Linked DNA regions of Neodiprion lecontei. The protein of the gene in region 2 interacts with the protein of the main gene of each other region in a pairwise test. Links are inferred from orthologs where the notes say so. Each region holds a gene or a part of one and is shown on either strand. Other genes may lie near its edges. The genes, in order: cyclin-H and golgin subfamily A member 2.

Region 1 (16,785 bases), on a different chromosome or scaffold from region 2:
GGAACCGTTAAAGAAACCCGCCTCGCGCATGAGGATATAATGCACTCGGACTCGGAGGATATCCCGCGGGAGCTGCACGAGGGGCAGGTGTAAAGCGTTGCCGCAGTAGACGCCAACTGATCGCGTATAACAACGCCCGATAAAATTGTTGCTTTTCCACCAAAAATGATCATCCTCGTTGTTGTTGTTTTTTTCCGAGTGAAAAAAAGGAGTACAAAATTGTGGTAATTTAGTCCCCACCATGATCAGCCGCCTCCGCCACTTGCCCGCCACTTGACGATGCGGCGCCGATCGGACCGAGGGCCTCGCGAATGGACAATTATGGTTCGATATATGCTCGCGTCCACGCATTCATGCACACGCGTGTCTGTGTGCACGGGGGATAACCACCCATATACCTATCAGGTTAATAACAGGAGTAATTTCACAAATGAGGTCGACCCGATCAAGCCGAGTGGCCCGCGTCATCCTTTCGAAAGTTCATCGAGGTTCTTCCTTAAATTTCCGTGTTTGCAACTATTCGACTTGTGAAACTTGCGGCTGTTTCTGCAAACCCTGGAACCCACCGCGTTGCGGTAATGCTTTTCGTAGGCGAATTTTCCGCACTGGATAAAGGAGCGCAACATTTAAGCTGTATCAGCTGTACGTTTCCACCGAAGAACCGTCTGCGTGAAACAAATTCTCACTCACTTGCGCACTCCCCGAGAGGGCCTCAGCATCGTTCGCTCGATGCGGCCATTTACCCTCTGAAACTAACTATGTCACGTTGTACTTTTAATTTATCGGACTGCCGCACTTTTAGAACACCCTCCGTTATGCAGGAACGCGGCCGGGGATTCACCGTTGACACTTTCAGTCGCGTGCTTTGGTAAATTGCGAGAGAAGACGAAGAAAATACTGGACAATTGATAGTAAGGACGCGCGTATCGCGATGCGAATGCCGATGTACGTGATCCGTACGTGAATCTCGGGTGTGACTTTCAAAACGACACTTGTCACGGTTACGATGCCACGGAGTTAGAGGCAGGAGCGAGTTTTCGAAGTTTCAGGTTTTATACTATTCACAACTGAATATTCTGTGAGGCACGATGCGGTTCTCCGCCACTCGGGGAACTTGCCTGGCGCTTAACCGGCCGAGAGGGGCATACTATGAAATTAGTATAATCACGATCAAAATTACCGGAGTTCTGCCGCAGAACCACCAACCGCCGGTCAAATAGCGCGCCTTGCACTCGCCAATCAGCGAACCGGGATCGGCGGCCATCTTGCACTCGGCTCGACTCCCATTGGACGACTCAAATTACCGCGAAAGTGGATAATGCGCGCGAGAAATTAACTTTGTTACCCGCTTTGCCTTGCTCCTTTATTATTCCGGTCTCAAGAACAACGAGGGCTGTCGATAGCTGGAGACTGCTAACGCGAAACAAAGCTCGGAATATTCTATACAAGGCTGAGATTTCGCTACTTCTTGGCCCCCTCGTTTTGCTATCATCATCCTCGATCGTTTGAATCTGCAGTTGCAGTCCAACTCAAGTGAACTAAAATTTCGTGTAACGATTCATGGAGACTGGCTCACGAATTCTCACCTTGAACTTGATCCCATTGACATTCTTGCCGACTTCAAAAGACGAGGAGAAAAAAGAGCACGCAGTGACACGCCAGACACCAAAACGGACACATCAACATCCTATCATGGGTTTCGGCGGAGAATGAATGTACCGATAATTTTGAATTCTTACGAAACAAAGGTACGTTTGTAAGATCAGGAGTTGAAAGCACGATGAAACAGTCCAGAAACTATAATCAAATTCTCAGTTCCAATTTCCTTAATTCTTCTGCCCATGCATCTGAATCCATGTCCCGTCTGTCCGCGGCTGTGAAAAACGTGATATGATACCGGGGTGTGGTAGATGCTGCATGTTAAAAGCGTCGCTGTGAAAATCAGCCTCAAGATAAAACGGCAGCTCGCTCATTAGCAGCGTATAATCCGACCGGGACAACTCAAGGTCTGGTTCATCGCCGGGAGAGAGATTGCTCTGGATGAGTGTTATACTTAGGTGTACTCACGAAGAGAATAAATATCACGCTAGAGTGTCGGCGGAGTTGTATAAACAATTAAACGGCCCCTCCTTCGGGGCCGGGCAGCGTACGTCGCGAACGTAGGAAACGCAGAGTCCAGAACGCAGCGGGAATACGGAGATGGAGAAACTGCATGGAACACGAAGCACGAATACGCATGAACGCAGAAGGAGAACGCAGGAGGCAGGAGGCGTTCTCGTTCGAACGAGAAGGCTCGCGGCTAGGGCGGAAACGCTCGCAGCTATACGCACCGGGATATATTTTAACATCACGCTATACGGTATCGCGGGCATACGTACGTGCATACCTATATCGGGTATAAAACATTTATTTGTATAATTACATGGTAGCGCTGCAACCGCGGGAGCTGTTGCCCTGCGTGCCGGCCGAAAGATTCCGGAGATATTAAAAACTATGGAAGAGCTACTATGTGTGGATCCGGAGAGCTCGATCTTCCTTATCCAGGGGTGAAGATCGCAACGTGGATTGCCCACGGAATTCCGGCCTTCGCACCGAACCCATCACCCAAATACTCTCTGGAACTTTCATTCCGGATTAGCCCATCTTCGTTCGATATCCGCACCGATCAGAAATTCATTCGGCAGGTCCTACATTCCTCTAAGGATCAGTTCCTCGCCCGTCGGATGGTTTCCAGACATCGGCAGTTTCGACCAAGCGACGGCAAAAGTCATTCAACTAAACATCTCCCGCATTGATCTGCTTTATATATACGAAGCGGAAGCAGACAGAATTACATAGTTCGTAAAAACAGGGGATGCGAAATGTTCCCATTGGTCTTACGCTAATTTTTTTCACCTACGAGTTCCCGAGTTTTCGTCTTTGATGATGTGGTTTTGGGTAACTGTCTCGATTCAATGAAAAACGAAACCTGAAGCAATGTTGTCTTGACCGCAAATATTACACCAATCATGCGTTTTCTCAACCCATTGGATTCTCTGTAGTTCTTCTTTCGTCTGTTGTCCAGACGTTCTAGACGTTTACCTCCATACTTGGTTCGAACCTGGGTCAGGTTATTTCATACTATGAAGATTTCCGCGAGCGATATTCCTTATCTACCTCACGGGATCGTTAATTTGCTTACGTAATTCTAGAGCAACGGGGTTTTTGTGTCAGGGTTCTTGCAGTGCCAGGTGAAACAGAAACCAAATCGCACCTGCATTTTTCTAAACACACCTCTTCCTCGTGGGTTTGAATCCCTGGCTTTTCTTTGGAAAGGTAACACCGCGGCAGCGAATGGTCATGATCGGATTGCTGAAATAGCCATTCCCCGGTGCATTCACCATGTTCCATTATACCTTCAATAGCACAAAGTGTGACGAATACCGGTTAACTGATAAGACCGTAAATTGATCTCCATCGTGGAAAACGTCGTCCCTTTTGTCGCCAAAGAGTAGCGCAAGGACCGGATTGAAGAGCTCGGCGTCAGGACGTCGGGCCTGCCATCCGCGAAGGATCGAGTGCTTAAGGTTCCCCTCGACGCGGAGCGCCGCGATTGCCTTGGGCGTCGGTTGCAGCAGCGGGTCTAGCCACCGCTCTGTCCTCTGTAATTATATCGTATACGTACTACCCTCCGTTCTTCCTTGTTGCTCCTCGTGTATTTTGTTCGAAGCTGGTCCTGCCCCGGGCCAAAGATGCGCTCGGCAGTCTGCTTCGAAGGCCTTCGGAGAACGGGCGAGCTCCGATCTCGCCAACGTTCCTCAGGCCCTCCCATCATCGGACCAAAATGACTAACTGCACCTCGTACTAGTGTCCAAAGCTCCGTACAGAGCGATTCAAAATTTAATATTTTCAAACCAGCTATATACCTGTAACATACGGTGCTTCGTTCTTAGCTACATCATTCTTTCACCCGCGGTTGCAAATGCTTCGACTTGTCTTCACAAAAGCTCCCTTTGAATCTTACGAAAACGGGTTACGAAACCAAACTTACTATATCATGTCGAGTACAGATTAATAGGTTAAGACTCTTTTGCAAACTTAATGTAAGTGCACCAGTTATTGACCCTGTTCAAGTTATTGACCTTTTTTTGTTGTATCTGTTTGATCCTTAGATCTAAAATTATCAGAAAATAAATTTGTAGCGTCTAATCATCTAGCAATTGGTTTTAGTTATCGAAAAATTCATAACCTCTGCCACAAGTTTATAATTTTGGAAAAAAAACTGGTCAATAATTGGTTCTAAACGTATCAATAACTGGTACACTTACATTATACACAAAATAACGGTAACTGATGTTCGTAGAAAATATTTCTCCGTGTATGCAATTAATGCTCATTACGTTACACAAGATGAAGATGGCTTACAATTCTGCAAACATGTGCTTGTAAGAGTACGGCGTTACACCAAGGTCGTAAATAGTTTAGCACGTATGCAGCGTTGTCGTTTGTCAGATCCCGTGACGTCATTGCGGTGGGAGTTATCGCGAGGGAATAAACGTTTCCACCCGGTGATGTATGGAAGATACGCGCATGCATTAAACATGCCGGGTGTACCTGTAAATAAGTTTTTGCGAAACTTATATGGCTCGAAGAGAAGGCCCACTCGTGCGGGGAGGCTTATATGGATTACGGAGGAAGGCTTCACGCAGCCGCGGCGCTGATACAGTAAGTGGTGTTGTAAAATACTGCCGGTCAGCACGACAACTTTCGTTTAAGTGCCAAAACAGATTTTTAATTGTAGGTCAAGAGCCGCGGGTTAATAATTATTCTCAACTAAATAAAGTGGAATTATTCATCTATCCGATGGGACGACGGAAACCACGAAACGTTGATTTAAGATTAAACTGTACAGCCCGATCATATTTCAGAAAGATTAAGTCCAGCCTAGATTCTACCCGAGTGACAAACATTTCCCAGCATTTTCCTCAGCCGCCATACTACAAAGTCTTCGCACCGTCAACAGGCGCGAATTACTAACCTGATAAATATCGTAATCGAAAAAATGCCGGTAAATTAACCGCACCTTCTCAGTCTGATTAAAACATTTTTTTATGTACCTTGGGATCGATTAATCGAACACCGCTCCGCGACCTAACTACAGACCTTTTTCGTTCACCTATCAGCTTGGCCAAGGCTCATCAAACGCACACTCGTGGGGTATGTGATTTGCGACTGCCCAAAATTGTCCTAGATCAAATATCAATCGGCCACGACTCGGCCGGAACTGTACATACAGTGTGCCATAAAATGGACGATGGTTGATCGGCGACCAATTCATACGCATGTTACAGGATGCATGAAAGCTTCACCTAATCCATCTCCCTAGTTCCGAAAACGTGGTTTACCGAATGACGAGTGACATTCAACAAGAGGTGTTAGCGTACCTCGGTAAGCTGACCGCCACTCTCCACCTTGCACATTCTGCGAAAAAGAAAAACGCTTATGACACCATAATTGTGTAGTATCCTGTAGGAAAATTAAACTCTTCGAAATCGAAACGAGAAGGGAACAACGCAACGCCGATGCCGACACACACACCATCACGCGTCTTGGGCCGACTTCTTCAAATTCCGCAGGACAAGTCGAAGTGCGGTGGAGTGGCAGCTGGCGGCCATTAATCTAATATTGTGGTCGCCGACGCCCCCGCGAGTACACGCTCGCGTGCACAACCGGCCCTCGCGCCCTCTTCCTGCCTCTCCTTCACCCCCCGTTCGCCACATCCCTTAACCGACTTGCCACACACCATCGACTGTCGGGGGACGACGGCAAGCACGCGGAAAGGAAGCAACGCTAATGCGGAATCAATGCAGGGGCTGCCGACTGCTGATGAGGGATGATTAAGGGGCTGGGGGGAGATTAGGTGTTACGACCAAACTCGATTACTTTCACACCTCGAGGTCTTTGAAACACCAAATTTCAATAAGAGATCGCGATGCAGTCGAAAGTCTGATCTGCCCCTTCGATCCTGAAGCTTCAAGATATTCAAAAGCTTTACCCTCACGTTTCGGGTGACGAAACGTTCGACTGTACTGATTGCGCTGTTAAAAATTTTTGTATGGAACTGCCTGCGCTGTAATGAAAGTTCTGTAATTTCACCATATGTTTACAGTTTAATCAATTTACATATAAAATAAATTTACTACACAATTTAGTGAATTCGAATTACTTTCTTGTCTTTTTCATGTAAATTTTAGTAAAATGAAAAATTTTCCTTGTAAACTTAAGACAAACGCATAGTAATTTACGTTACTGCACCGAATTTGTAAATTTGTTGTCTAATTTCGTAAATTGACAATTCTTTTGTACAGTAAATGTCTAGTAAATTCACAATAATTTTCAACGGTATCTGACACATATCCCGTATTTTGTCGCATCGAATGAAATTTTGCACAGTAAATGTAAATCATAATTACATTTGAGCATCGTGATTCCGAGAAACATGCAAGTTTTCAAGAAAAACTTGCTACCTGGAAAGTAATTTCTGCAGAACCGTTTCAAAGGCCATCGAAGAGGGCGTTGTGCCTGTGTCTAGGACTATCGATCGAGCACTAGAATTGAACTTCTTTGGCAGAAGCACCGTCATTAGCTTCCATCAGGGAAAGAATAATTCCAATCGTGGCCAAGGTGCACGCCAAAGGTGCATCAGTTGGATTTAGCGTGAGGCGCCGCAGCCGTTGATTGTTAAGCCGGCGTCGGCCGAGGCGGAGTTTCTGACTTGCCGTCGGTAATGCTTTCGAATCTCGAGCTACACCGTTAACAGCTAACCACTATAAAACTGAGCTCGATCATTTTTCTTTCTTGGAATCTCCCGAGTCGAAGAAACGCTTCAAATAATTCATAATTTATACAGTATCGAGTATGATTTTTATTACGTTGAAGCTCTGCGACGTTGTCGATTTGACCGTGAGAAAATTACAGAATTCGACCGATATATAATATGTCGCGATATTGCTGCAGTCAGCCTCTAATGTCTAATGTTAGACTTCACGCACAGCCTGACGGACCATTCGACATCCTTGCAACTATTACACGTGGGCATTTACGAGTTTAAAGCAGCAGGTAAACTCCGACGAGTAAAAGGTCTGTATCCGACAATCAGATTGAGATTCGTTCGGCTGCGATAAGATCACAACAACCGTGACTAACGAAAGGTGCCAAGACCGCCTTCCGCAGAAGAGCGTTTTGAGATTGGCGATTCGCGATTTGGGAATGGGAGGCGTGCATATGGATTGAAATTTACTTTGCAAAACTCGGCTCGTTACGCGAATGAATTTTTATTATTCCCCCGGAAGTCGGATGACCCCGATGAGTTCTTGAAGGTTTCCCCAACTGTCGATACTAATTAAGACGGGGTTGGGATGTAACACCTGCCGACAGGGTCAAATGTGATACAAACACAATTCGAGCTTACAACCAGTAATCAAGCGGTGACTTGCAATTCATAATCGCTTTAGTCGATTATACGACATGATATCAGCCGCCGTAAATTCGTCAGTCATACTTTCATAAAAAGAAAAGGTCAACGAGGTCAATTATTGCGAGACGAACAAGTAGCATTTAATATCAAACATGAATATTATTTATGCAATACCGCGAAAAGATAAATCGCAATTTGAACACTCTTCTTAAGACTCTCATCGTGAGTATAGTCGTTAATTACACATCGAGTCGTTTTTAGTACATAATAGAAGTCATATTCGTTAATTAAGACGATAGTGACGACTTTGCTCAAAATTGCAGACAATAGGCAACGCAACGTATAGCGATTGTTTACCCGAAAACAGCCTTCGACTTATAACATGGGACATTTAATGCGACATATTAAAAACTGCTTTATTACAACTTTTGCTCGATGAATTAGGCCTAATTTATATACCATGACATCCACCTGCGGGATAATTCAGCTCATTTCGAGAACTTGAAATCCAACAACGCGCGAAATATATCGTTCTACCAACGGAATATTAATTATACTCTACATGTATGAAGTATCGCATAACGATATCAGTGTTCATGATTGTGATTAATTTATTCCCGTAATATTCCCTAACTTCTCGATATACTCGGAATCCAAGGATTTTTATAACCGACTGCACTGCAGAGTAGCGAGCTCTATCCGTAGCTTCGTGAAGTCTTTGAAGCAACACCAATTGACCAGCTTTATATGAAACACCTGCAGGAACGCTACTATACCGATACAAATTAAACACTTTGTGTCATTTGTATAAGCTATTGGAGATTTCCCTGAACATTAATATCAAAAAGATGATAAGTTTCTTCCATCGAAATTTAAATGTTCCTGTACCGATTCATGATTTGTTCGCACATTTTCTTTGCTCAACCCAATAAGTAGTTTCAATTCGATCGGTGGTGTATTAAAGGTTTTCTTTCATATAGCTATCCATTCGCTATTTTTTAAACTATTTAGTTTTATTCAGGCGATAGTAATTTCATTTGTAACTTTATTCGCATGTATTATAAAGTTTTAATAATAAGAAAATTTCAAATCCTCCCGCGCCTCCGCAGCGTTATCTAGTACAGAAATACATTGGCTGAAGTATATTCTTTCAATATAAAACAATATATATTTCAGATATACAACGCATATGCGTTGACTGAAGACTATCAGTCAACGGCATATGCCAAACCTGGCAGCGTGATGACAGTACCCGGCGTATTCAAGTTTACCGCCAAGCCCCAGCGGCCATTGCTGATTGCTGAAACCACGAAGTAGCTGAAACTGACCAGTGAGCAGGAGTCTCATTTGACGCCATTGCTCAGTGAGCACTAGTGAGCAGCGCAACAGGAAGCGGTAGGAAGGCATTGGAGGACAAAGACGTTCGTCGCAGGGTATCTGATTAGGGAGTCTTTTACGGTGCGATTCAGCTGCTCACGCGATATTAAATATATTGAAAATGTTTCCAATGAGCTCTCAAAAGATGTACTGGATATTCAGTGATGAAAATGACATCACGGAACTTCGCGAGAAGACTAACTCGGAATTCATCGAGAAGCATGGCGTGAACGTGCCGGTGAGTGTTTATTCCAGTTTATTCTATCTCCCAATCGATATATCTATAGCTATAACCCAAAAAGCGTGTTTTGTCAATTCGAAAGAAATTACTCGACAAAAGCCAGTTCATACAAAGTTATGGATAATTATATCAGCTTCGAACAGCGTGCGTTTTAACATTTGATTCACCAATCGAAAATATTCCATCTTTCGCAAGCAAATCTCCGTACTCTCTAATCGTCTTTTATTTTGACATACGTATCAATTACGTGATGAACATTCCGCGCGATTGCAAAGCAATTACGGTGTTACCCGGTGGATAAATTTATTTGAGAATTTTAATTATACACAACGTGTACTGGAGAACACGCTATTTTGAATCTTTGATCGTACATAAATGCTCACGCAGTTTGTTGATTAAATACCTATAAACTTGGGGACGCCAAATAATGGCGGTAAAAATGTCTTCACCGTTTGTGGGAAGAAGACTGATATTTATACGGACATAAAAATTCTTGCCTAATATTCGATCGGCATGCTCTGTGTAAATGTTGTCCCATACATTTGCGTTTCCGTCAAGGAGTAATACTTTGTCTTTGAAAAATGGTTCGTTCTTTCCACTCGTACAGCGCGATCAAAGAGAGGAGCATTTCCTAACGACTTCGGAAGAACGGATATTACTCAAATTCTATGAATTACAACTCCGAGACTTCTGTCGCAGATTTGTTCCGCCCATGCCAAGACCTACCGTAGCAACTGCGCTTCACTACTTCAAGAGGTTCTATTTAAGGAACAGCGTTATGGATTACCATCCTAAGGAAATCCTTGTCACGTGCGTCTACCTTGGCTGCAAGGCAAGTATTTGTAATATGAATACAATTTAACATACTTGCAGAGATGACTTGCAATTAACTTTTTTTTATTGCGATGAACAAAACTTCAACTGTTTCCAGATTTTATTATTTTTTCAATTCTCTTTCTTAGGTAGAAGAATTCAATGTCTCAATATCCCAGTTCGTAGCGAATATCAAAGGAGACAGAGAAAAGGCATCAGACATCATTTTAAACAACGAATTGTTACTCATGCAGCAGCTCAACTATAACCTGACTGTCCATAATCCTTTCAGGCCTGTAGAGGGCTTGATGATCGATATAAAGGTGAGTGTAGCTTACGAAGGGAATCTACTTATTTTCCAAGCTGCAGAATCATTGGCTGAAATTTTTATCTCTTATTTTGTAAATTTCTCTTGACAATTCAGTTTTAACTTAAGCCCTTATTTCTGCTATTCATGGTTCACTCATCAAGATCATATCGAGCCTTTTGTAATTTTCTATTAATTTTTCCTGTGTTTTTAGACCAGATGCACATCACTTGAAAATCCAGAGAAGCTCAGACCGCATATCGACGATTTTCTTGAAAGAGTGTTTCTCACAGATAGTATTCTGATTTACGCTCCGAGTCAAATTGCTTTGGCTGCCACCTTGCACGCAGCGTCGAGAGCTGCTGCTAATCTAGACAATTACGTAACAGACACACTGTTCTCGAGGGAACATTTGCCAGGAATCATCGAGGCTGTTAGAAGTAAGTCGATCATAATCGTTTTTGGGGATGTTTCATCATCTTCGTCATTTTTCTTCTGACACATTATCACCGATTGTAACTATGTCATATTAAATTTTCAGAAATAAGATCAATGGCCAAGTGTGTTGAGCCTCCAACAAGAGAAGTGGTCCGGTCTCTCGAGAAGAAACTGGACAAGTGCCGAAATCAAGCGAATAATCCAGACAGTGAAATGTAAGCCTTGCATTCACGAATTTTTGCCAAACATTTTTTCCGCACGTAAGGCTGGTCTTCAAATTCAAGTACCAAATGCCAGTTCGAAACATCTAATTGTGCTACTTAAGTTATTACATTTTACTTCTTCACTTAACTGTGTACCTTTACTTAACTTTTTCAGTTACAAACAAAGAATGCAGGACATGCTGGACGAGGATGATTTACGGGATAATGAAAAATACGCAAAAATCATTCAAGACCAAGCAGAGCATGACGAGAAAGTATTGGGCGTGAGTAAATCTCTATCTCCATCGGCGTTGTAGCATCGAAAGGTTTGCCACTAAATTTCTCAAAAGACTTCAACTTACGAAAATAAGTAATCTTTAAGCACAGGGCGTAGAGGACTGTGTGATATTTCACACTTATCATCGTTTCATATTCAGTCAGTTGCACTAGCATATCTTGCTTCTTTTGTGCTACATCTTGTTTTCATTTCTTTGAAATTACGAAAAGTGATCTACAAAATTTGAGTATTCACTGCAAATCCTGATTGAACCCATATGATTCAATTGTATTCGACAGTGTCACTCATAATGTTCAAGACAACAGTTTAACATTTTCCACCCCATGTTTTAATCATTTTGGGTGTCTAGCGACATGATAAAGTTGATAATTCTCTAAAACTTGTAAAATGAATCTAGTTTCTTGAATTTTGTACTATTAACTTTCTTTTACAACTAGACTCTGAAGGTAAAATTCTGCTATATAAATAAAAACTAGCGAAGCTCTCAATAAAGTCTATATTTCATAACATATACAATACTTAAAAGCAATGAACACCACTTTATTTTTGTAGATGAAAATAGTGTTTTTGAAAATTGAAATCCTTGAAGAATTATAAACTGTATCACAACTGGATATCCCCTTAATTTCAATTTTGAAGTAGACTCAGGCAGCAATAAAACTTTATTCCTAACTTAACCGTAATGGCCACTTTATTGACCTGCAAAGGCCGACAAAAGTAGCTTATCATTCCCTCTTGTACTTTTCTCCGCAAATTTTTTTTTTTTTTTGTTCCCTTGTTTTTCCCTTAAATGCGGTTTCAACTTTTAAAGTCAATAAAGTTGCGACAGTCAAGTCCGGAATAAAGTCCTATATGCAATACGGCTATAAAGACTATTATTTCTTTATCACATAATGTGCTATTAAAGACAGTAAAATAAAAAAAACTAGAAACAAAATAGAATAATTGTTTCTCAGTTACTGTCAAAAATTGTGCATCTCTAACGACTACAATCTCGGGGCGTAGTACATAGGTATTCATTTTGTAATTATAAGCTTCCAATATCTCCAGTACCTTATAAAATATGTTCGTACCCAAAGCAATGATTTTTCACTAAATCGTAAACTAATGTAAATCAGCTGGCCGAAACGCGTGTATGGGGCATTCCACGTCAAGTCAGCCACCTCCAGGCCTCACTACCTTTGATTTCATTCTTCTAGGATTTTGTTATACCATGCGAAAGTGGTGTCTCTGATTTATTTAAAAATTTTCGGAGCCTCCGTTCCGGAGTTCTTGCAAGCCTAAATTTTACGATATTCAAAAATTTACGAACTTTTAATCGATGATACCTCCAAATTGAACAATCGTATCAAAAACAGTAAGGTGGTGTTTCGATTCGTCTTGAATTCAAGTGTTTGAAAAAAAAATGTTTTGCAGATATTTTCCGCGACGTTTAAGCTGTCGTAACTGATGTTCAAATAAAAAAATCAAAATTCCATCAAGTATATTATTTTTGAAAATTTTGAAACATTTTTTTTTCGGTTGACGAAGTTGACGTGGAATGCCCCATATACAAACTAATGGATAACAAATATGCGAATTATTCGGAGTACCTTAGGTAGAGGAAAACAATGTTCAATTTACGTTGTCCTAATGAATCAGTTAATTGGAATCTGAGTATCCGGTGCAATCGGCGTACAAAACTATTTACTTGATTGCTTTATCTGCTTGAAGATTTCTCAAATAACACTGTAAAATTTAACGCTACGCTACAACACCCGTGTTTTGCTTATCATCCAATTACTACATTTTTATTTCAAATGTGTAATCAACACCTGAAGTTTCCAATTTAGAAAATCGAAACCTAAGTCCACCGTGGCTTTTGGTACTGAAACAGCCACAAAGATTACATAACCACGTATCTCCTTAGTTCGCAGTTGAAATGATAGGGTGGCGACAGACTGGGAAACCCGGGAATAGTCAGGGAATTTCGTATATTGGAAAAAGACCGGGAAAAATCAAAGAATTATGATGGACTATAAAGAAAAACGTACTTTTTCTATAAATCGTTTTCAAACTTCAGCTGAGCTTCGTAAATTCAGTTAAGCTAACCGTCTAAAATGGTATCGTTCAATTTCTAAGTATTTGTGTGAAACTAAGCAATACTATGTGCTTTTTAGATCCAAATTTATATATTCAAGGTGCGGAACTTCTGGAGCTTTTCGTCATAAAAGCTGCTCCACATTACCTATGTTTTGTGGAAAAACGTTAGAGAATTCTGCATTTTTTAACCCTAGACGGGGCAACCTAATTTTTATACTTTCTACGGGGTAACTGGGGCATCGGAGTACCCCAAGCGTTTCCAAACAATACAAGCCTTTCTAGTTCCAATAAGATAGGTTTATTATGCATCATTTTCGTCGTTTTTTAATCAGAAACACGAAGGTATATATTAAAATCCCTTTCCTTTGAGATGAAAACGAGAAGAACTTGTTTAAAGCAAAAAAAAAAAAGGGCGGTGAAGAGCTAAAAATGACTTTTTTCAGTCAAAATAGTCTCATTCTTTTTCTAATTAACCGATTTCCAAAACTCCAACGGGATTTGAAAGGGAGTACACTGAGCCTTGAGATGAAATGGTGTATCGATTCATTTTTTTCAAAAAGTATAATTATTTATTTATCCGAAAACTGAAAATAACAAAAAGCCGTAAATGGGTGAAGTCAATGAAAAATTACATATTGCATCTTTTTTTCAACTTTGAATGAATTTTTTATTCAACAAATAATTTTTATAAATATAGAAAATAACCATCGAGGCTTAATGGTATACCGATCGGTTTATAGTGGCACAAATTTCACAAAAGATTGAACTGTGCTCGTCACAGACAGGTCGGTTACAGTTTTCGTAGAAAGTTTTTACTTTTCGGTCGGCTGGTCGTGGACAAATGGCACGTCTTACTTTTTATCCAGCCCGAGGTTTATCATTTCCATCCCCCTCTGAGTCCGAATCGTACATCATTTCTACATAATCTTCCTCTTCGTCATCTTCCGACAGCATATCAACAGCCAACTCTGTTTTTTCCGAAAGCGCCTCACTGGCCGATTTAGTCCTTGGTGTGAACACTGAATCTTTTAGGGAAGTTTTTGGAGTTTTATAGGCTTTGAAAAAATCTGAAAAAATTCTGGGTTAGGTACTTCTTGAAGTGTCTACTACATGGCCCAGAAGTTGTTTAACCCTAGGACCCTAGACTATCTGTATGAAACAAATACTCTACATACGGGTTACGCGCACCCCAGAACTTGAAGTCACCGTTGCTAGAGGACTGTTTGTCGTAGAGAGTTTTTTTCTTTTCCAATTGAACGCTGAAAGACTGAATAATGGAATAGGATATGCGACAAAAACCTATTATGACATTTTCGTCTTAAAAAATGCGATTGAATAAAGTAAGAAAAATGATTTCAGCTTTGTAGGAAATAATATATAAGATAACGAAGCTATCTTTCGAATAAGTTATAATGTCAATCGTATTAAATGTATATTGTAATATTCAATGGAATACTTCTTAAAATTCTACGTTAAATGTGTGAATACAAGTATATTGAAGCTTTGCAACCGCGTAAGTGTAGTAATGCTCGATATGCACGGTATTCAATCGATGTGAACTCTCCGAGGCGTCGTCACGTAATGCCCCTTTGACACCCGCTTTCTAGACCCACCGCATTCGATTCGTCACCCGTCTAATCTCAATGTCTATGTTCTGGCTCTCGAAATATTATCGGCTTCCCTGCCTCACCGCCGTGGTCCATACCAAGACGTTGACTTCATTCGGCCTTCCTAGATTTTACGACGTCCTCGTCGTAGCTTCGTCCACCTGTCAATCTGAAAATAAACGTCCACCACACGAAATTATCAAAATTTCCGTATATAGCAAGACAATAGGCGGGTGCGGCGTTCACTCCGAAATCAGAGTGATCAAGTCCGATCCAAGAGTTTCAGCCACCTCTCGTCATTGTCTAAATACATTTGGGCTACTATCATTCGCCCCACAAGGTTACTATCATTCGCCTGTTTCGATTACTATCATTCATCGAAATTCCAACGTGGCCTTACCAGTACTATGCCGTAGCATCAAAAATGACCCACGGACTCAGCTGATCCACTGCCACTACCGTTCGTTGCCCTGGCGTCTTCTTCATGTCCCTGAGGTCCTCGACCTCGTACCGGTCATTTGGTAAGACCGCCCTGACCTTGAACGGCCCCTTGGCCTTAGCATTCAGCTTCCGGCTCTCGCCCGTGGCAGGCGCAGCGCTGGATTTCCACATGACAACGTCGCCGACCGCGTGCCGGGGAAGTTTAAACCTTTTCGCATCAAACGCTCTTTTCTGCCTCCCTTGCTCTACAGCGATGTTGTCCTTTGCCATCTTCCGCAACTCTTCCAAGTCCACCTGATCCAAGGTCTCCTGAATTGCAGATATCAACACCGCATCGGCGATACTGCGAGGTTTGAATCCATACAGCAGTCTTCATGGCGTACTTCGCGTACTTCGGTTCGTGGTATTATTTATGGCACTCTGAACCTTCTTTACGGGCTGCTTGTTTTCCAGCCCAGTGCCGGCGTTAGAGGGACTGATACCCTGGGCAAGAATATTTTGGCGCCCACTTAAGGAAATCAAAATCGAGAGTTAATTTTTTTCTGAACCAATGTGAACGTGTATTAAGAATTCTATCTTTCCTTTAGCGTGACCCAGAGCTAACGACGTGGACGTAGAAAGTTATGTAGCTCCTCTTTGTTTTTTTCATATTTTTTATTGTTTTTTTTGTTTTTTTTTTCATTTTTTTTTTTGTTGATTTTCTTTTTTTGTTATCCAAAATTTGTTTTTGCATGAATTTAATGCACATTTTATATTTTAATTACTCTTCATTTTGATTTAATACTTTGTTAATTTTTGAATAACTTTCTTCCTTTTTTTTGTACTGTTCTTTAGTAAAATTTTACTTTTCGGGCCTTTTTGTCAGCAAATACACGAATTAAACTAGAAAAATCCAATTGTTCAACGATTTCATTTTCAATCGACAGAGTAGCCAAGTTAGAGAGTCTCGATTGAGAGGTTGTTGATCGGAGATACGTTTTTATTAATTTTAGTTTAGAAAAACTGCGTTCTCCACTTGCAACTGTAACCGGAATCGTTGCAAAAATCCGGAATGCAATCCATACATTTGAATAAAGTTCTTGAATATTCCGCTGTCGTATAAAGTTGAAACTTGACTTTCAAAGTACCTTTGCTGATATAATGAGAGACGAATTATATTCCTCTGCGATTTGTCTCCACGCCTCTTCTTTATCTTTAAGCGTTGATGTATCGCTTTTTTTGTTCTCTATTAGATATGTGCGAAAATTTCTTCAAAATGTTGAGGAACAGACGCTTCTCAGTTTCCGTATAGTGTTTTTTTCCGGACATGTTTATACCCCTACGAAGAAACATTTTAACCATAAAATGCTTTTATCTCGAAATTTTATTATTAAATAATCACGTTAGAAAATTAATATATATTTAAATTATCACATTGCTTTCATCATGATAGAAAAAATTATAATTTACCCATAATTGAATACTTACAGTTGACAAATGTTGGGTAGATAGAAAAACGTTTTTCTTGGATGACGATTTTTGG
Region 2 (17,483 bases):
CTGAGTTCCCCAGCTACACATAATTCGATACTCAATGACTGAAGTTTGCGGTAGACGGGGAACGATGAGGAACGGAGCGAACCACGTGATCAGCACTGGCCAATCAGCTGTTTAGCTTTGTGCTACCGCCAAGCTCGTCTCGGCTCTACTTGCACTAAAAAGCTGTATTTTACTGACGCGTTGTTAATGTCGTGATAACGATTCAACGAGAAGCTGTGTGTCGCGCACGATAGCGCGGTTAGTTTATTTTGATAATTCGCAATATTATTGATACTTGGTAACCGGGTTTTTACAATATTTACTTCACAAATAGTGCAATGCCGGAGTCGCCATTTTGGTGATACGTCGAGTCCGACCTAACTATTGCACTTATGATCTTTTTATTTTCACGCGAATTTCAGTCCGCTTACGGGATCATATTTGATACCTTCGATATCCAGAAGCATCAGTGATGACCCAGCAAAATAAAACGATGAATTTCTTGATACACGACGCAAATGGTAAGTCGTCCAACTGGCGCGCCAACAATCGGCACGCACGGCTCCGTCTCTGAATATTCCTTGTCGAATGAAGTGTGAAACAATACCTCGTGCGATCAACCGAGGAGCGCGTTTTCTAACCAAATTTCACGATTCTTATATTTCGCATATCCATTTCTATTTGGATTCGTCAATTTGATCGCAGGCTCCTTGCTAAACTCAATCACGTTAAAACGTGTGTTTCGCGTTTACTACCAGAATACCGCGAACGAAAGAATGCAATTTTTGCAATCTTTGTTTGTAACCGAATCTTACATTAATAATCTTGATCGAGATTTCTTTCTAAGGATTTACAGAATATCCCAATCACTTTCATTTACTTATCGATAACTAGAACATCCCACTGTATAGTTCTGGATTTCCTTACGTTAAACTTACAATTTACACATTGACACTGACAAATTCTCTGTTCTTTTATTGATATACTTGTGGAATCCATGAATAATAAACAAACATATTTAGTACTGCTCGCGTGATTGTAATTGGTTCACTTTCATTGAGAAATAGCTATTGGAAATTGAAGATTAATGTTAAATGATATTGCTGTTTGGTATTCCTATTTTAGTTAAACTAGCTGTATTGTTTTCACGTAATAACGTGTATTGATAATCAGTCGTACACTGAATATCATTCTTGTAGATCTCAATTAGGATATAAATAATTCATTATTGTTCTTCTTAGCAACAAGGGCATTCCTTATTTGCCTTCAAGATCAATCAGTTGATTTGCCTCTAAAATTTGTGTACTACAGCAGCATTGACTCTTGAAGGACGAATGCCATTCAATATGAAATCTTAAATATTTCAGTATTCCCTACTGCTAAACACTTGATACTACTCAGAAGAGCCATCTAATGTACATACATTAGTTGATTAACTGAAGTTTTGGATCATATAAAATTGTTAATCTGTGATATTTTAAAAAAAATAAACTTTCTTACAGGCCAACCACAAGTTATTAAAGTGGTTCCGAGCACGCCGAATAAAGCACTAACTGGGCTTGTTAGCACCACAAATTCCGGGAGTTTGAAGGTATTCAAGACACCTGGCCAAGATACCCAAGTAAATATCATTTAAAATATATAATCAGACTCGCAACATTTGTATCATTTTTCTAATAATTACCATATATTGAAAAATTGCTCTACCAATATTCAACAGGTTTGCAAACATATTTTAATTATGTTATACAATGAGTACAATCCATATTATTCTGCACTCCCATCTTGAATATTTTTTACGGTTCCCATTTGTATGACTACTGAGTATGGTTCATAAAGCTTTCTAAGATGACACTGAAGCTCATATTTATAGACCTATTCGGATGAGCTGATTCATATCACAATTTAACCCAATGGCCACAAACAGGAGTTCTCAAAACAAAAATTCAAACTGTCTCACAACATATAGTATTTCTGACGTGTGCTATCTTGTACATTTTTTAATCAAGGGATTCAATAGATGATACGCAGAATTATCCCCGCCTGCTAGTGTAAGCTTCCAGCTTCTAGCTTCAACTTTGTATTTACAGGGTGCCCAGTGGTCAGTTAAATGTGTAGCAATTCGGGGGATATTGAATCACTTAGTGAGTGGGCACCCTGGGTTCATTGTGATGATATTATGACCATTACTGTTTGCACACTCAGGTCTTGTCCAGTGGGACACAAGTACTGAGAACCATCAGTTTGCAAGGTTCTTCAACACCTGGTCAGCGTGAGTATTACAGATTCTTACCTAGTTTCTTGCAGTACATATTGACGGATCCTATGAAAACAGAAGTATTTCGATGGGTCGGATAGAACACTTATATTTTGCCGCGCAATCTAGAATGGATGTAACTTAAAAAGTGTTACAGCATGTCCATACAGAGCTCTATACACAACTTTTAGCATCTTTTAAGATAGATCCGTTTTAGGTTACCCAGTGAAATACGGCCTTTCTATCTGGACTGTCAAAATATGTTTGTTTCTATAGGACCCATCTATATATCTGTCTTTTCAGTTATCAGAAAGTTCACATTTCTCATGTAACAAAATATTTTTCTATTAGGCTTAGTTACCATCCCTGTACAAAGTGCAAAAATGTCATCTGTAAAAGCTGGGGAATCTGTAGTGACAAAAACAATACAACTTACAACTGCTCGAATGGTAGGTTACAACATCATGAGCATTGGGAAAATATGAATCAGGAGCTATTCAAAAAAGACATTAGCTTTTCCTGGGGGATCCTGGATTATGTGGTAGTAGCATAAAGCACACTGGTGGGGGTGCAGATGAACATAATGTTCAGTTACTGTAGGTAGATTTTTAATCATCTGCAGCCCAGGTTGATTTTATTAACGTTAGCTCTACTAGTGTGGTAATATTATATATTATATTAATTTTTATCATTTTGTTAAAAAGTTTCTATTGAAATGAGAGTTTGTATTTTCAGTATCTAAAAACTATCAGAAGTGGATTTGTTAAATATCAATTCAGGGGGATTAAAGTAAATGAATCCATTAAACAAAGTTGATGTATTTTTTGAATGGCCTCTGATAAGCTTGATTGGATTTTGTGTTATGATTTAATTTTTTTATTCAAATCTTTCCATTCAACAGAATGATTTTAAACAAGCGTTGGTATCCCAGCCTCAACAACAGGCCAGCAATCAACAGCAGATTGTCAAAGATCAATCTGGAAAGACTTTCATCAGCCCCATTTTGGATCACAGTGGTTCGAGGAAACGACAGGATGTCGAGAGCAGCGATTTTACCCCAGAGTAGTGAGCTTGGACTATTCTTAATAAAAAACTGAACCTTTTCCTGACGGGGTTTATCTCTGAATATTGAATGATGCACACGTTTGGTTTTGAAATACATATCACGATGAAATATCATAGAACTATTGATCGTCAAGTAGCACAATAAATTCACGAATCTTTCAAAAAGTTCAAAACAGAGGACAGTTTAGAAACTTATCTTTAAATAAAACATGAATCATTGATTTCAATTTGCAATGTGCAAACACATGTCACTGATATTATCTGACTTATTTATCTTAAAGCAGCGACAACTTTTAAGCATAGGATGCATATCAAAGTATGTGTCTGAAATCGGGAAAGGGTTCGTTTTCCAGATTAATAGATCTGTATTAAATTTACAGCAAACGGAGAAAAACAGAAAAAGTTGGAAAGGGGCTTCGCCATTTCTCTATGAAAGTCTGTGAAAAAGTGAAAAAGAAAGGTACGACATCATATAATGAAGTTGCTGATGAATTAGTTGGCGAATTCACCAACCCTGCGCACATAAATTCGTTAACTGATCAGGTAAATATCTTTTATCGTTGATATTTGGAACCTTGTTGTCTTTTCAGGCAACTCACAGATAGTGCTTCAAAGTTTGATCTTAGGTGCAAAAGTACATAGAGAAATGATCTCAGTCTTGCCAATGAGTGTCAAAATTTGCTTATTCAATTCCAATTTCACTCAGGATTAATATCTCTTTTGCAGCAGTACGATCAGAAAAATATTAGGAGACGTGTATACGATGCATTGAATGTATTGATGGCAATGAATATAATCTCCAAGGAGAAGAAGGAGATAAGATGGTTGGGTTTGCCCACAAATTCGTTGCAAGAGTGTTTGTCGTTAGAAAAAGATAAGAAAAAGAAAATAGAGAGAATCAAAGCCAAAACTCAGCAGCTGCATTCGTTAATTTTGCAGCACATATCGTACAAAAATTTAGTTGAACGCAACCATAAAAACGAGAATTTTCATGGACCACCTAAACCTAATTCTGCTATACAGTTGCCATTCATAATAGTTAATACCAGTAAGAAAACTGTTATTGATTGCAGTATTTCAAACGACAAGTAAGTGTCAGTCTTTCTTTTTCATGTAGTATTTTTTTACACAAAATTAGTTCATGTTTATAATTTATAGGAAAGTTCGATTTGCATATTTTACACGTATCTACGAGTAATGCTTCTTATAATATTTGTATTACTTTCAGAACCGAGTACCTGTTTAATTTTAATGATAAGTTTGAGATCCATGATGACATTGAAGTTCTGAAAAGAATGGGTTTAGCCTTTGGTAAATACTAATTTAATACTTTGTTCCAAATATTGATAAATTTGCACGAAAATCTCGGTACAAATGTACATTTGCTTCAGGCCTTGAGAAAGGAGAATGTACTGATGACGATTTACGGAAAGCAAAAACTATGGTACCAAAGTCCCTTGAAAAATACGTTGAGCGTAAGTAGCTCTAGTTACACTTGATTTTATTTTAAGGTAAAGGTGCTGTGGCATAAATCTAATATTATCAACTAATATCCATAGAATTGGCCTCTGGGGATTTGGAAAGATTCATTCCTGTTACAATTCCTGGGCCGAGTACATCGATGGATGAACTGGAAATAAAATTAGAGGAATCTGGATCTCGGCCACCTTCTTCTTCTCGTACCTCTCTCTCGGAAGATCCTTTGTCTCCACCTTCCCAGTTTTTCTCTGAGGAAGAAGATGAAGAAGAAGAAAGCGACCAGGACGATCAAGTCGACAGTGATCTTGAGGCTAACTAGCATATCCATTCATCATCCTCTTAACATATTTGGTAACCACGAAATTGGGCTTGCGGTGTCGTTTGAATTACACAAACGTAAAATCATTTTTATAGAAACACTTTGCATCACCAGGTGCTTTGTATTATTATTGCGCCACGTTGCCGAAATCGTTGGATGCAACGGATTGATTATACAGTGATTGAATTTTCATGCCTTCTCACTGAAATGGAGTCTCATACCTTACTTGGTTGGCTAATTTTTGCTGACGAAATAATCGAGACAATATCAAGGAATACATCTTAACATTGCCGAAACAATCTATTTTGGCTGTAGGAAGACTCCAGAATTACATTCATGTTTCAAAACAGCTGAAATTAAATTTTATATTACTGGAAGGTATATTGTGTTGCAGGTTGAGAAGTGTAATGAACTAATAACAGCGAGTAGGGTACATGTCACTTTCTTTCTTTTATGGAATAGCATAAGACTAATGCGTAAACGTCCGTAAATCGTATTTCATGCCACTTTGATTGTTATTGCTCGGATACGAAAGCGACGAGTTAGCTAACCGACGTGCACAGGGACTGAAATTCGGTGCTATTTTAATCATGCGTCGTGTCGTGAATTTAGACACTTTAGAATGTATGTACTATAAATAACACAATTATAATCTTACATTAATATTATTACATGTATAAAATATATCTATACCACTCATTTTCTTATGGCACGTTTATGATATCTGTGGTTCACAGCAGGACGCAATATAGCAAAGGAATACAGAGAGAGGTCTAACTAATTTGAAGTGAATAAATTGTAAAATTATTACAAGTGACTGTATATTTTTTTTTTCTTCAATTCAAGTTTTTAATACATTTTTATTATTTCTGCGTAACTTTACTATTCCGGATATAGAATGCCAAATTTTTATTTGAGCGCAATTTTTTCCGTTAGAAAACATATTTAATTCACTTGATATGGAAAATTCATTGAACTTTAAAAGATTACTTGTAGAAATTTATTTTATGCATACTGCTGTATCGATTTTGCGTATTTTATTGAATTAGTCTTTTACCCAAAATAGGAATTTATGTTGCAGTTCCAGTAATACAAAGTAATCATTAGCTACTTATTAATAATTAATATTCTTCAGTTTAGAAATTGTTATTATTAACAGGATTAAGTGTGATACGATTATTTAGAAATAGGTATTTACGTAATTTCTCTTATTTCCGAAATATTTCAACTCTTCGTTCCATTAATGAGCATCTTGTAAATGTTTAACATGGCTCAATGCGAATTTTGTTTTTGGATCGAAAAAATATTTTTGAATAATATATAATAATTGCAATCTATGATTAGGTTTGTAAATGATTTTAGAGGTCAGCTACCTACAAACATGTGTTACTGACAGTAACTGATCTGATACTGAATATGTATCATGAGGATAGGGTCTGTAAAGCAGCATCTTCGGACATATGTCAGAAAAGTGTATCTTGTACACAATAATTATTACAACATTTCACAAATAGCTGGATTAATTGAATGATTGTAAATAAATTTGGACCTCTCATTTATATTAATTGGTCGTTATTAAATTACTATGTTCATGCTATACTTAAGCTTGTCTGAATTTTTGCCATTATTTAGGCTAATGCAATTTTTAATTTTCAATTGATATATGAGGCATTATATTCTGGCTAGATGTAAATAGTTTTCAATGCCATTTAAACAAATTAGTTTCATCTTTAGTTAACTAGGTTCTTTCTATTATTAGCTACTTCTGGTTAACATGTGTGTGCTATATAGATACATTGCTCAGATTGTCACAGCATCCTAAAATCTGAGTTGTAAAGCAGTTCGTGATATTTTGCTTCATTAAGTTCATAATAATTCTCGCGAAGTGAAATGAATATTCAACAGAGTTATCTAACAATGATGAAACAAATATTTTTATAAGAACAGTTTATTCAGCATTGAGTGTTTCATTTTTTGTAACACAAATCATTATATCGGTATTACTCGAACTTATCAAGTTTGAAAGAATTTAAGACCTTTGTTGATCACAGTGTTCATCAGTTCAGATCCTCATCATCGAACAAATCATCGAAATCTAAAATAAATATAGTGTTTTTATCAATGCACATTTCCTGCAGCGCTTTTATAAAAGAATAAACCTTTTTGGCACAGAGTAAAATATATCTTCATCATTATTTGATACAAAACAAATTCTTACCATTGAAAAAGTCAGCATGCACCGCTTTTTCATTAGCAGCAAGATCCATCAACAATCCACTGGATCCACCAGCCTAAATAATGAAAAAAAAAAAACATCAATAACTTGCAGAGTATACAATTTTTTTTACTACCGAGCAATTTGATCTTGTTTGTCTGGCTGACGGTGTGAGGGTATTGGTCAGTGACGAGCAATTCTAAATCAATGCAATGCAGATATACAATCTAAGTGATCGTCAGCCCAGAAATTAAGTCACGTTTGACAGCTTTGGCACGATGGTTTACGATTTGAACGTATGTAATTTATGTTTTAGAATGTTTAACGGAACCTCTTCAAGATCCATATATGGACCAGCGCCTTCGGGGAACATTTCATCGGCCACAACAGTAGGTTTCATGTCGACACAATCAATTACTTGATTTGAAACAACAATTCGACGTAGAAATAGGATGAAAAATTCATATGCAATTGTTCTAGTTTAACCATTAAGTGTACATACCTATATGGAAACGTTGACTTGAGAATTCGTAATCAACGACAAAAAGAAAGAGATAGAATTACCAAGCAGTGGTCTCATTCTCTGAGTCGGTAACAGTAGGGAATTTCTGTAGTGCGAATTCAACTACAGAAAAAGTGTGCACCGAGTCCAAATTTCCTAGAATTCATCCAATAAACAGGCAAGAAAACCAGTGAAACCACACGTAAACGCACTTGTGAAGTTGAATTTGCCATAAGATTCTAAACTAAACCATTAGCGAAACAGCAGTGCTGCCTTTTATGCTCCGCATTTCGTATCGTGTTTCTCGTTTTCGTCAACGTCATCGTCCTCATAGGTAGAGAGGATCTTCCTCTCTGCCATAGCTTTCTCTTTTTAATCAAGGCTCACTGTGAGGTAGTAGTCCATCTCTATTAGCTATGGTGCACAAACACAAATGACTTAATACACCTGCATATCAGGACAATGTGTGTGAGTGGTGAAGTGGCACGTAGAGCGTAACCTCACAATGTTCTGTCATATTGTAATATTTTGCTCTATGTATTGTAAATAATTAATAGAATAAATATTGCGCGTGGATTCTGCACCAAGTACACTGTTTGCTCTTCGTACAGGTCAAAAACGAACCCTCAAAAATGAAAAAATCTGAAAAACTATTAGCAGCCAGAAAAAGGGTGAGAGCAGAGAAAATATAGTTATCTTTTCTGCGAACTTTTCGCTATTATTCATTACCGATAATTTCTAATCAAATGTTCGTTGTAATTACTTTGTGTAATATTTTCAAAATCGAAAATTGTAATGTACACACACAACTCACATGAATTAGTATCACATACTATAATGGATATTTCTGTATCATAGCTCAAGGAATTCCAAATGAGTAAAAGAAGTCACATGGCAGATGATACTTCAAAAGATGTAAACGAAAATACAGAAGAATCTACTCCGTCACAGGTGAAGAGAATTTCCGTTGTCCTTATTTAATCTGAACGAAGGTAATACCTTCATTAAAAAGTTTGATCTCTAACCATTAACATGGGGTTTACTTTATGTTTGTACAGATCGACAATACTCTTTATAACTCTGATAATAATTACAACTACCGGAAAATAGGGTCCCCAATAAAAGAGACTCAAACACCATCAATAGACAGCCAAGTTTCTGAAGCCCCTCAGCAAACTTCAGAATCGCATGATTTTTTGGAATTCAATTCCAATGGTGATATCACTTCTGCTGCTACAAAGCTGGTGAATTCTTCAAATCCTACTAGCGTTTTTCAAGACACTGTTGATTTCACTGTTCAAGAAAAACTGTCGGAAGGTTCCAGTATTATATCTAATTTCACAAATCTGACAGATGATGTTTCTAATAAACATCAAATTAATGACAATCTGATTAATGTTGAGAATTATTTTACCTCTCAAAATATAACGAATAAAACAGATGAAATTGATTTAGAGCAAGACATTTTATTAAAAAACGAGACACACAATGTAAATGCTCATGCAGAGTCAACTAATAATCGCAGTGGTTTACATACTGAGTATGAATCATTGGTCGGATCTCAGGCGTTGCAGAAAGAATATCTACTACAGATGACATCTGCCGTCACAAACATATTGTCAAGTGATATGGAGAGTAAAGACGTGCCACAAGAACTTACCTCTGATTTGGAAAAGAGAAATCAATTCTTGGCATTCTGCTTGCAAGAACAAAAAGAACTTGTTAACCGATTACATCTTGAAGTCAGCCAATATGTAAGTTTGGTGAAATCATTGGTTCAGACCAATTGACCAGCTAAAATCTTCATATTAAAAAATTATACAATTTCAATGAATTTTTTTTATATTCACAGAGGACGAGAGTGTCAGAACTAGAAATGATAATGACTACAAAGGATACAGAATTTGAAGCAAAGCTTTATCACGAATTGAATCCACTCAAAGAGCAATTACAACTTCATGCACAAACAACTGGCATTCTTGTAGGAGAAAAAGCTGAGCTTACTGCTGCCCTCGTTCAAAGTCAAACAACTACCAAGCAAAAAATTGGTAAAATTACTTATATTTTGTTAATATAGACTTGGTATTACACGCTAAAAGTAAAAATTTTATACAGTATAACAGATTGATAATCAATTACTTTTTATCAGCTGAAGTCGAAGAATTAAATGGAAAATTAAAATCGGTCCAACTCCAAGTCTCTGATTTAGAAAGGGAACTGAATTCTGTGAAAAATAGTAGCGAAGATGTCGGAAAAGTGAATAACCAGCTTCAATCTAGCTTCTACTCTTTAGAGGCGAAGTATTCTCAAGTGAAGTAAGTTTGCGCAGTCATGGGCCCTCATTATTAGTCTTTTATGACATATCATTGGATCTTTATTGGACGTTTTTATATTCTAAGACAAGAAAAAGACGACTTGGAATTAGAGACCGCTGAATTAAGGCAGAAATTAAATGTTAAAAATACTGAGTTAACTAACATTCAACAAGAATTGAAAGAAAAAACTGCCTTACTGTCCTTGAATGAACTCCGAATACAACAGGTACTTACAGTTTATTATAATCTCTATTCGGAACTCTATGATCAGACCTAAAATTGACCCGAAAATGTAGTGGAAATTAAGTGTCCAGCATGCCATATTCCAATCTAATACCTAATTACAGATGACTTCTACGACACAAGAAACCCAAGGTATCAGTGAGCAACACCATGTAGTAGCCGCACTGGAACAGCAGTTGAGCCAATTAATGGAAACTCTTAAAGCTGTCAGTAGTGAACGTGACGAAGCTAGTAACCATTACCAAAATTATGTTCAACAACTGAACAACCAAGTTACCACTCTTGCTCTGAAGGTAAGCCAACACGAATTTGCAATTTTGATTGCTGTTCTTAAATTATATTTAAATTGCAACGCTGATTACTGCAAATATTTTTCTGTTGCATCTTATTCATTTATTAATTATTTTTTAGCTCGAGCAAACTACAAAGGAGAATGCAGAAATAAGTAGTCGAGAGCACAGCCTTATTCAACGGTTGTCCGATCTAGAACGCCAAATACAAAGTCAGAAAGAAATACCTGAATCTACACCTCCTGTTATCAATGACAATAAAGAGCGAATTGATGAGTTAGTCAAAAATATTGATCAACTCACTTTAGAACGGGATAGTCTTCGAGCAACACTTCATGAAAAGGTGATTTAACTTTCTGGCTGAACTACAATAGTCCTCTAGAATGAAATTGAATATTTTACTTTGTTTTCTTCCATCTAGGATTCAGATATCGATGCACTCAAGCAAGAAATGGAAGAGTTGCAAGAAATGCGTGCAAGCAATGCTGAGGCGTCCCGTTTAGTCTCTGCTCTAGAAGGTGAAAGATTAGCGGCAGCTCGGGCTGTCTCTCAAAATCAACAGTTGAAACAGCAGTTGAGTGAAATGCAAGATGCTTTCGTACAACTTGTAAGTTAATTTAGAATAATTATTTAGTACATTGTCAAAGAAGCACAGTTTGTGAAAACAATTTTTTCACTATAGAGCAACACAAAACTTGATTTGACGGAGCAGTTACAAGGAGAGAGGTCGATTGGAAGAAAATTGAATGCTCGGTTGAATGACACTGAAAATGAAGTACAGAAATTGAAAGATGAAATGCAGGAAAAGGATTTACTCATGGCTGAGTTAGAGAAAGAAAAATTACACATGGCTCAAATTGCAGATCAAATGCAACACTATCAAGCTCAGTCTAATCAGGCTAGTACCTTGCAGCAAGAACTTCACAATGCGCAGGTAAATGTGACTAATTGGAACCATGAAATGTGCTTGTATACAAAATCAATTTGTTACCAATACAAACATTGGAATTTAGGAACGGATCGAAGTTTTAATGAAAGAAAATCAACAATTGATCAGCGAATTGAATGCTGGGACGATGTTGAATGATTCAACCGTTCAAAATCAAAACATTATACAGCCCAATGGTGAGTGTAACTTGCAAGCATTGAATGACGTGGAAAAACTAAAATTATCAACAGCAACAACACAGACTGACAATGAGTCGTATAGTATTGGTGACACGGCCCCGCCAATTAGCGAACAACAAGCAATGATGTCAGTTTCGCCCGAAGCTGTGAAAAAGTTGGAGGAACGATTTAAACATACTATGGAACGTGTTGCTGAACTCTCAGACGAAAAACAAAGATTGGAACATCTCGTTTTGCAGCTTCAAAGTGAAACCGAAACTATAGGTTAGCGTAGCCACACTGAACCGTTATATTTCAGGTGTAATAAAACCAGGATGTATAATTAAACATCTCTTTCAGGCGAATATGTTACATTGTATCAAAAGCAGCGTGGTGTCCTTCAAGAAAGGGCTAAAGAAAAGGAGGAAGCATTCCGCCAGTTGACAGAACAACGAAACACACAACAGGAACAGCTGCATAAACTCAAAATGCTTGTAGCTGAATTAATTAAAGAGAAAACTACGTCTACCACTACATCTGCATTATCGGATAGTACAAACGGTATATATTAATTCCTGTATTCAGTCCACATTGCTATTTCGATTACGGATTCTAAATGTTTGTTGGTTTTCTCGAATTTTTTTTTTTTTTTTATACATTGTTTCATTTTTAACATGTGTCTTCTAGAAGATGGTCTAGAAGCAAGCAAACACGTGGAAAACAAGACATCCTGTCAATCGGAAGTAGTTGCAGTCAAAGATAAAACTACGTCTCAAATTCTTGATCTTCTGACGGAAATTAAAGAATGCAAGGATACGTGTGCCTTGGAACCTAACTTCCATCCATGCCCATGGTGTTCAGGAAACTTGATTACAATTTAACCTTAAAACCAGTCATTAACTTATATTGCCTTAAAATTATTCAACTCTCAATTATTATGATTACTATAAACATATTCCTAAACAGAACATGTCAAAATTGTACATAAAATGTTGAAGTATTTCATAAATTTATACAATGTAGTACTTTCTTTTCAGTTTTCCTTTGTTCACTAACTTGCTTGTTTGCCAACTTATCGGCAGACTAAAAGTTATGAATTAAATTTTTTTTAAATTTACTCTCATATATAATTATTTCTAGGCTTTCAACAACAAAAAGTTCATTAATATTTTGATTATTTAACATAAACGGGTTGCAAGTAAATGTGAGCATTAAAAATAGCCGCTGGTCTTGTTGATGAATAAATTTACAAAGGAAAGGAATTGAAATGAGATATACACAAGTTAAATAAACTACCATAGAATAGTTTTATTGATAAATTTTGTTTTAATTTTTTGAGTAAGAAATTGAACTGTGTTTAAGCTTTCACGGCATATTTCCTGATGGGGAATGCAGATCGCTTGCGAATTTCTTTCAGAGTCTTACGACTCGCCTGGTAAGGAGTCAAGGCCCTGCGAATTGCTCTGGTCTTCTTTGGCCTCAAGTCTAAGGGCTTGTACTTCTTATTCTTGAACAAGCGTCGTAAATTCTCCTTTTGATACTGGTGCATAACAATGTACACACGAGCAATAGCTTTGCGAACGACGCGACTGAAGGTAAAGAGAAATTCATTGTAAATTAGGCAGCTTTAGTCATTCATTACATTTGACAATAACAGTAAACCGGCTACTACTTATCACATAAATATAACATAAGTGATTCAGAGCGAAAGATTAAACTATAAGGGGTTAGAACAGCTTACATTTTTGAGAGTTTGGAAGCGGCACCTCCTGTCACTTTGGCAACTCTCAAATTCGTCAATTCAGTTTTGAGCTCATCGAGCTGTTTGAGCAACTCCTTCTTGTCTTTCCTCCTCAGCTCGGAGCACTTGACCTTACCCTGAAATATCAATAGAACACTCACATAACGTCACGCTTAGAACACCTAAACAACAATTCCACATGGAAACCGCCAATGTAATAATGTTTTATTCAGGTTAAAAGAAAGAAGCAAGTCTAGATTATGGGTATGATTTTACAGACCGGCAATACGTAAAATTAACCTGAATTTGTGTATTTTATTTGTAAAATTATGTATGAAAATGGATTCTTTGGATAAATACGGATAACCGCAGTAAGAAATCCACAAACCATCTTGCTGCTGTTTGGCTTGAAGAAAGAGGGATTCGTGACCGGAACCTGGATTTTAGCTACAGGAAGTCAAGGATTTCAATTCAGTGGCCGTATGCATCAACACTTTTGTGTTCTTTCGTATAAAGCCATATGTCAAGTTAACAAAATTCAAAAAATTGACAAGACAAATATTCTTAACATATGAGTTAGTTTGGCTTAGAAATTTTTCAAATTCGAAAAATATTCTTTCATAAAGCATCTGTTAAATTACAAAACTTTATACCGACTTTACGTTAACGATGCTGACTTAAGAGTAGTTAATTATATCTCCCACAGAGCGCGCCGTCACCGAGACTAACTGTGAGTAGTTATTTATTGTAGAGATCTGAGGACTAGCATTAGCTCCGTAAGTGGTCGTAAAATTCAAAATTCGCCTGACGTCCTATATTACGGCAATCCTCTAAAGCATTTGATCGTGTTGCGTATAGCTTACGTGGTGTTTTCACTCGGCCATTGAGACCACAGAGATATATAAAAGACGTGTTCGAAAATTGACTGACAGTACGGTCAGCAATCTTTTATCTCTTTTGCGCTTCCAAGTTCGTGAATAGCTCTGACTCTGTCCTAGGGAATTTTGAGTACTGTCAGTCAATTTACGAACACGGCCAAAATAGAGCGTAAGCAACGGCGTAAGCGACCTGTGAACGGATTTGAATCGGTTCTTAAAGGACAGAAGATAATAATTCTCCCATCCTCTCTGTCTCTCTACCCATGGAGTGGGGCCAGGAGAGGGGAGAACAGCTAGGCTGCTGAGCTATGCATAAGTGTGTGTGACAGCGCTTTATTTTCATCGCTGACAGCGCGATGCTTGCATCGTTCGCTTGTCGCCTAACCTTGTTGCAATATTTTCGTTTAAAATGATAGTGAGAACATTTCCAGTACAGTGGTTTTTCGTGATAGTATTAATACTCTTAATTCTATATTTCAAAATAAGAATCAGTTACCTTGAAGAAAGTACTAAAATCCTGCGTAAGTATTTTTACTAATTTATCATTAATCAAATGTGATACAACTTTATGTTATATCACAGATGCATAGAAAATTATAGTCAAACAACGTTCAACCTGATTCTGTTAATTTCAGAAAATGCATTGGCTCAGATGGAAAAGCGAAACAACATCGAATCGCTTAGTCACACTGAGGACAGCCCATTATCAAGTGTCGATGATGTGGTCGTGATATACAACAGAGTACCAAAGACAGGCTCCACAAGTTTTGTGGGCATAGTATATGATCTATGCAAACAAAACAAGTATCATTCCTTACACATCAATGTCACCAACAACATGCATACACTTACTCTTCCAAATCAGGTATTTACTAAGAAACCATCTATTGCCCCAGGAGTTGACAGATAAATGTGCTAATTTTGATTGAAACAATCCAAACATCCAAAATTTTGTGCACAGTGTTTGACCTCTAATATACTGGTATAGAATCACGTGCACAAAACTGAAATGCATTGTTTTATTTAACAGAAGTTCAAATGTTTCGGTATTGAATGCATATATTTGAAGGAATTAAAATAGCGTTTACGATAATAGACTTATCTTTCAGGTACAATTTGTAAATAATATTACTCAATGGGATGCAATGAAACCAGCTTTTTATCATGGTCACGTAGCTTTTTTAAACTTTGAAAAGTGAGTATCTTTGTAAGTATGTGAGAACTTTGAGAGAAATTCAATATATTCAACGACTTAATTGATTATTTTCAGATTCGGAGTTAAGCGTACACCGTTGTATATAAATTTATTACGAAAACCTTTGGACAGATTCGTATCTTATTACTACTTTCTAAGATATGGAGATAATTTCCGACCACACTTAATAAGAAAAAAGCATGGCGACACCAAGGTATTATCAATTAGCATATTCCGCTTCTTTCTTCCTTGTAAGATTATCCTTTGTGAAGATAACATACCTTACATCTTACAGACATTCGACGAGTGCGTCAGACATGGACAACCTGACTGTGATCCAAACAATATGTGGCTTCAAGTTCCGTTCCTCTGTGGACACGAACCTGCTTGTTGGTATGAAGTTTTTACACTTAATATGCTTGGAAATCAATTGACTGAGAATTATTGTGCAATTTCTTATCTTTTATAATCACAAACGTATATTTAGTTGAATGTAATGATTTAATTGATTAAAGGGAAGTCGGTAATCCATGGGCAGTTGCAGAAGCTAAAAGAAATGTAGAAAAACACTACCTCCTAGTTGGAGTCACAGAAGAATTACCAGAATTTGTACAAACTCTTCAGGCTACACTACCACGATTTTTCAAAGGAGCCTATGATCACTTTATGCATAGTAAGACACGTGTTAGATATTAAGGATTGATAATAGTAAAGCATAGCATGTTTTAAAATTCAATCAAATTTTTAATAATTTTTCTAGTCTACTACTTTTATCCACTGGCAATGTCTTTACAATATAACGCAACTACAGTTTGTGATAATTTAAAAAAATCTCAAATCAATTAATTTTTTCAGATAGCAAGTCCCACTTACGACAAACTACCCAAAAAATTGACCCTCTCCCAGAAACTGTGAAGAAAATTCAAAATTCGCAAGTATGGCAGATGGAGAATGATTTATACATGCATGTTTTGGCTCATTTTCACGCAGTAAAAAAGCGTGTTATAAACTCAACGCCGCAGGAAGCGAATCAACACTTCATGTATGAAAAAATCAGACCAAAATGAAATTAAACTATGGTAAATTTAAGAGTATTGAAATATTTTTATTTAGTGAATCGACACTTTGTATCTGAAAAAATTAAACCAGTTGAGTATAAACTTTATTGAATTAAAAAGTGTTAAAATTTTTAAAAATTATTCTTGTGTATGGTTTTCAAGTGGTCTTTCTTGTTTTTCTTTACAATTTCATTCATATCAAAGAATTAAATATTAACAATCATCATATATATATATTTATTGTTGTGTGCAATGTCGGAATTAAACTGATCTATGTGATAATTGTGAACTATTTATTTCTACTGTAGTACATTGCTCACAGAATTCCGTATGATTTTTCTAGGTCGTAATATGAACATATAAACAGGATAAAGACCTCGTGGAAGTCTGGATTGTTTTTGTTCCTTTACAGAAGAAAATCCAGCCAGATCGAATAAACGTTGTAATTCCTTCAGTGGGCGTGTTACTGAGGAATCCTGTGTATCAACTTCAACGTTTTCAGAACTTGTTATATTTTCTTTTACTATTACCACGCCATTCTCTTTGAGTCCTGCCCTGTTGAATATATTTTACAAAGTTACAGATTACTATTTTACATTGTAAATTATACGGTAAATTCTCATTTCCACTGTAAATTACAATACTGAAACAAAATATGAATAGCAAATGTTACTAACTGACAGTGGCTGAAAAATTTTATAAAATCGTTATCTTGTAGATGTCCTAAAACCCATTGACACCATATGACATCATACTTCCCTACTTCAGGACAAAAGTTTTGCAGACCTGTAAGAGTAATATCCTGTAAAGTATTACATGTATTATATGTAAATTATTTAA

What was found.
Region 1: the proteins of golgin subfamily A member 2 (region 2) and cyclin-H interact in binary tests that used the Homo sapiens proteins (3 or more experiments, as listed by UniProt). The link is inferred for Neodiprion lecontei from reciprocal best matches to the Homo sapiens genes GOLGA2 and CCNH.

Annotation. Positions count from the first base shown.
Region 1 is NC_060263.1:34,015,351-34,032,135, reverse strand, and holds the start of cyclin-H, read left to right. Parts: upstream 1-8,839; 5' UTR 8,840-8,954; coding exon 8,955-9,071; intron 9,072-9,681; coding exon 9,682-9,906; intron 9,907-10,036; coding exon 10,037-10,210; intron 10,211-10,408; coding exon 10,409-10,634; intron 10,635-10,735; coding exon 10,736-10,847; intron 10,848-11,010; coding exon 11,011-11,152; 3' UTR 11,153-11,161; exon of another isoform or gene 11,162-13,812; intron 13,813-16,785. UniProt on the Homo sapiens protein: Regulates CDK7, the catalytic subunit of the CDK-activating kinase (CAK) enzymatic complex. CAK activates the cyclin-associated kinases CDK1, CDK2, CDK4 and CDK6 by threonine phosphorylation.
Region 2 is NC_060261.1:34,107,996-34,125,478, forward strand, and holds golgin subfamily A member 2, read left to right. Parts: upstream 1-8,040; 5' UTR 8,041-8,448; coding exon 8,449-8,487; intron 8,488-8,674; coding exon 8,675-8,767; intron 8,768-8,874; coding exon 8,875-9,570; intron 9,571-9,668; coding exon 9,669-9,864; intron 9,865-9,965; coding exon 9,966-10,131; intron 10,132-10,215; coding exon 10,216-10,357; intron 10,358-10,472; coding exon 10,473-10,667; intron 10,668-10,785; coding exon 10,786-11,007; intron 11,008-11,085; coding exon 11,086-11,271; intron 11,272-11,346; coding exon 11,347-11,598; intron 11,599-11,677; coding exon 11,678-12,056; intron 12,057-12,131; coding exon 12,132-12,332; intron 12,333-12,458; coding exon 12,459-12,652; 3' UTR 12,653-12,987; downstream 12,988-17,483. Other genes in the region: transcription factor Dp-1, read left to right, coding at 452-500, 1,482-1,600, 2,185-2,251, 2,588-2,685, 3,138-3,301, 3,682-3,844, 4,028-4,389, 4,530-4,612 and 2 more; COP9 signalosome complex subunit 9, read right to left, coding at 7,157-7,194, 7,318-7,390, 7,646-7,714; 60S ribosomal protein L35, read right to left, coding at 13,129-13,360, 13,513-13,649, 13,901-13,903; heparin sulfate O-sulfotransferase, read left to right, coding at 14,800-14,911, 15,026-15,255, 15,500-15,585, 15,661-15,799, 15,881-15,978, 16,101-16,258, 16,441-16,652; N-terminal Xaa-Pro-Lys N-methyltransferase 1, read right to left, coding at 16,943-17,198, 17,321-17,429. UniProt on the Homo sapiens protein: Peripheral membrane component of the cis-Golgi stack that acts as a membrane skeleton that maintains the structure of the Golgi apparatus, and as a vesicle thether that facilitates vesicle fusion to the Golgi membrane.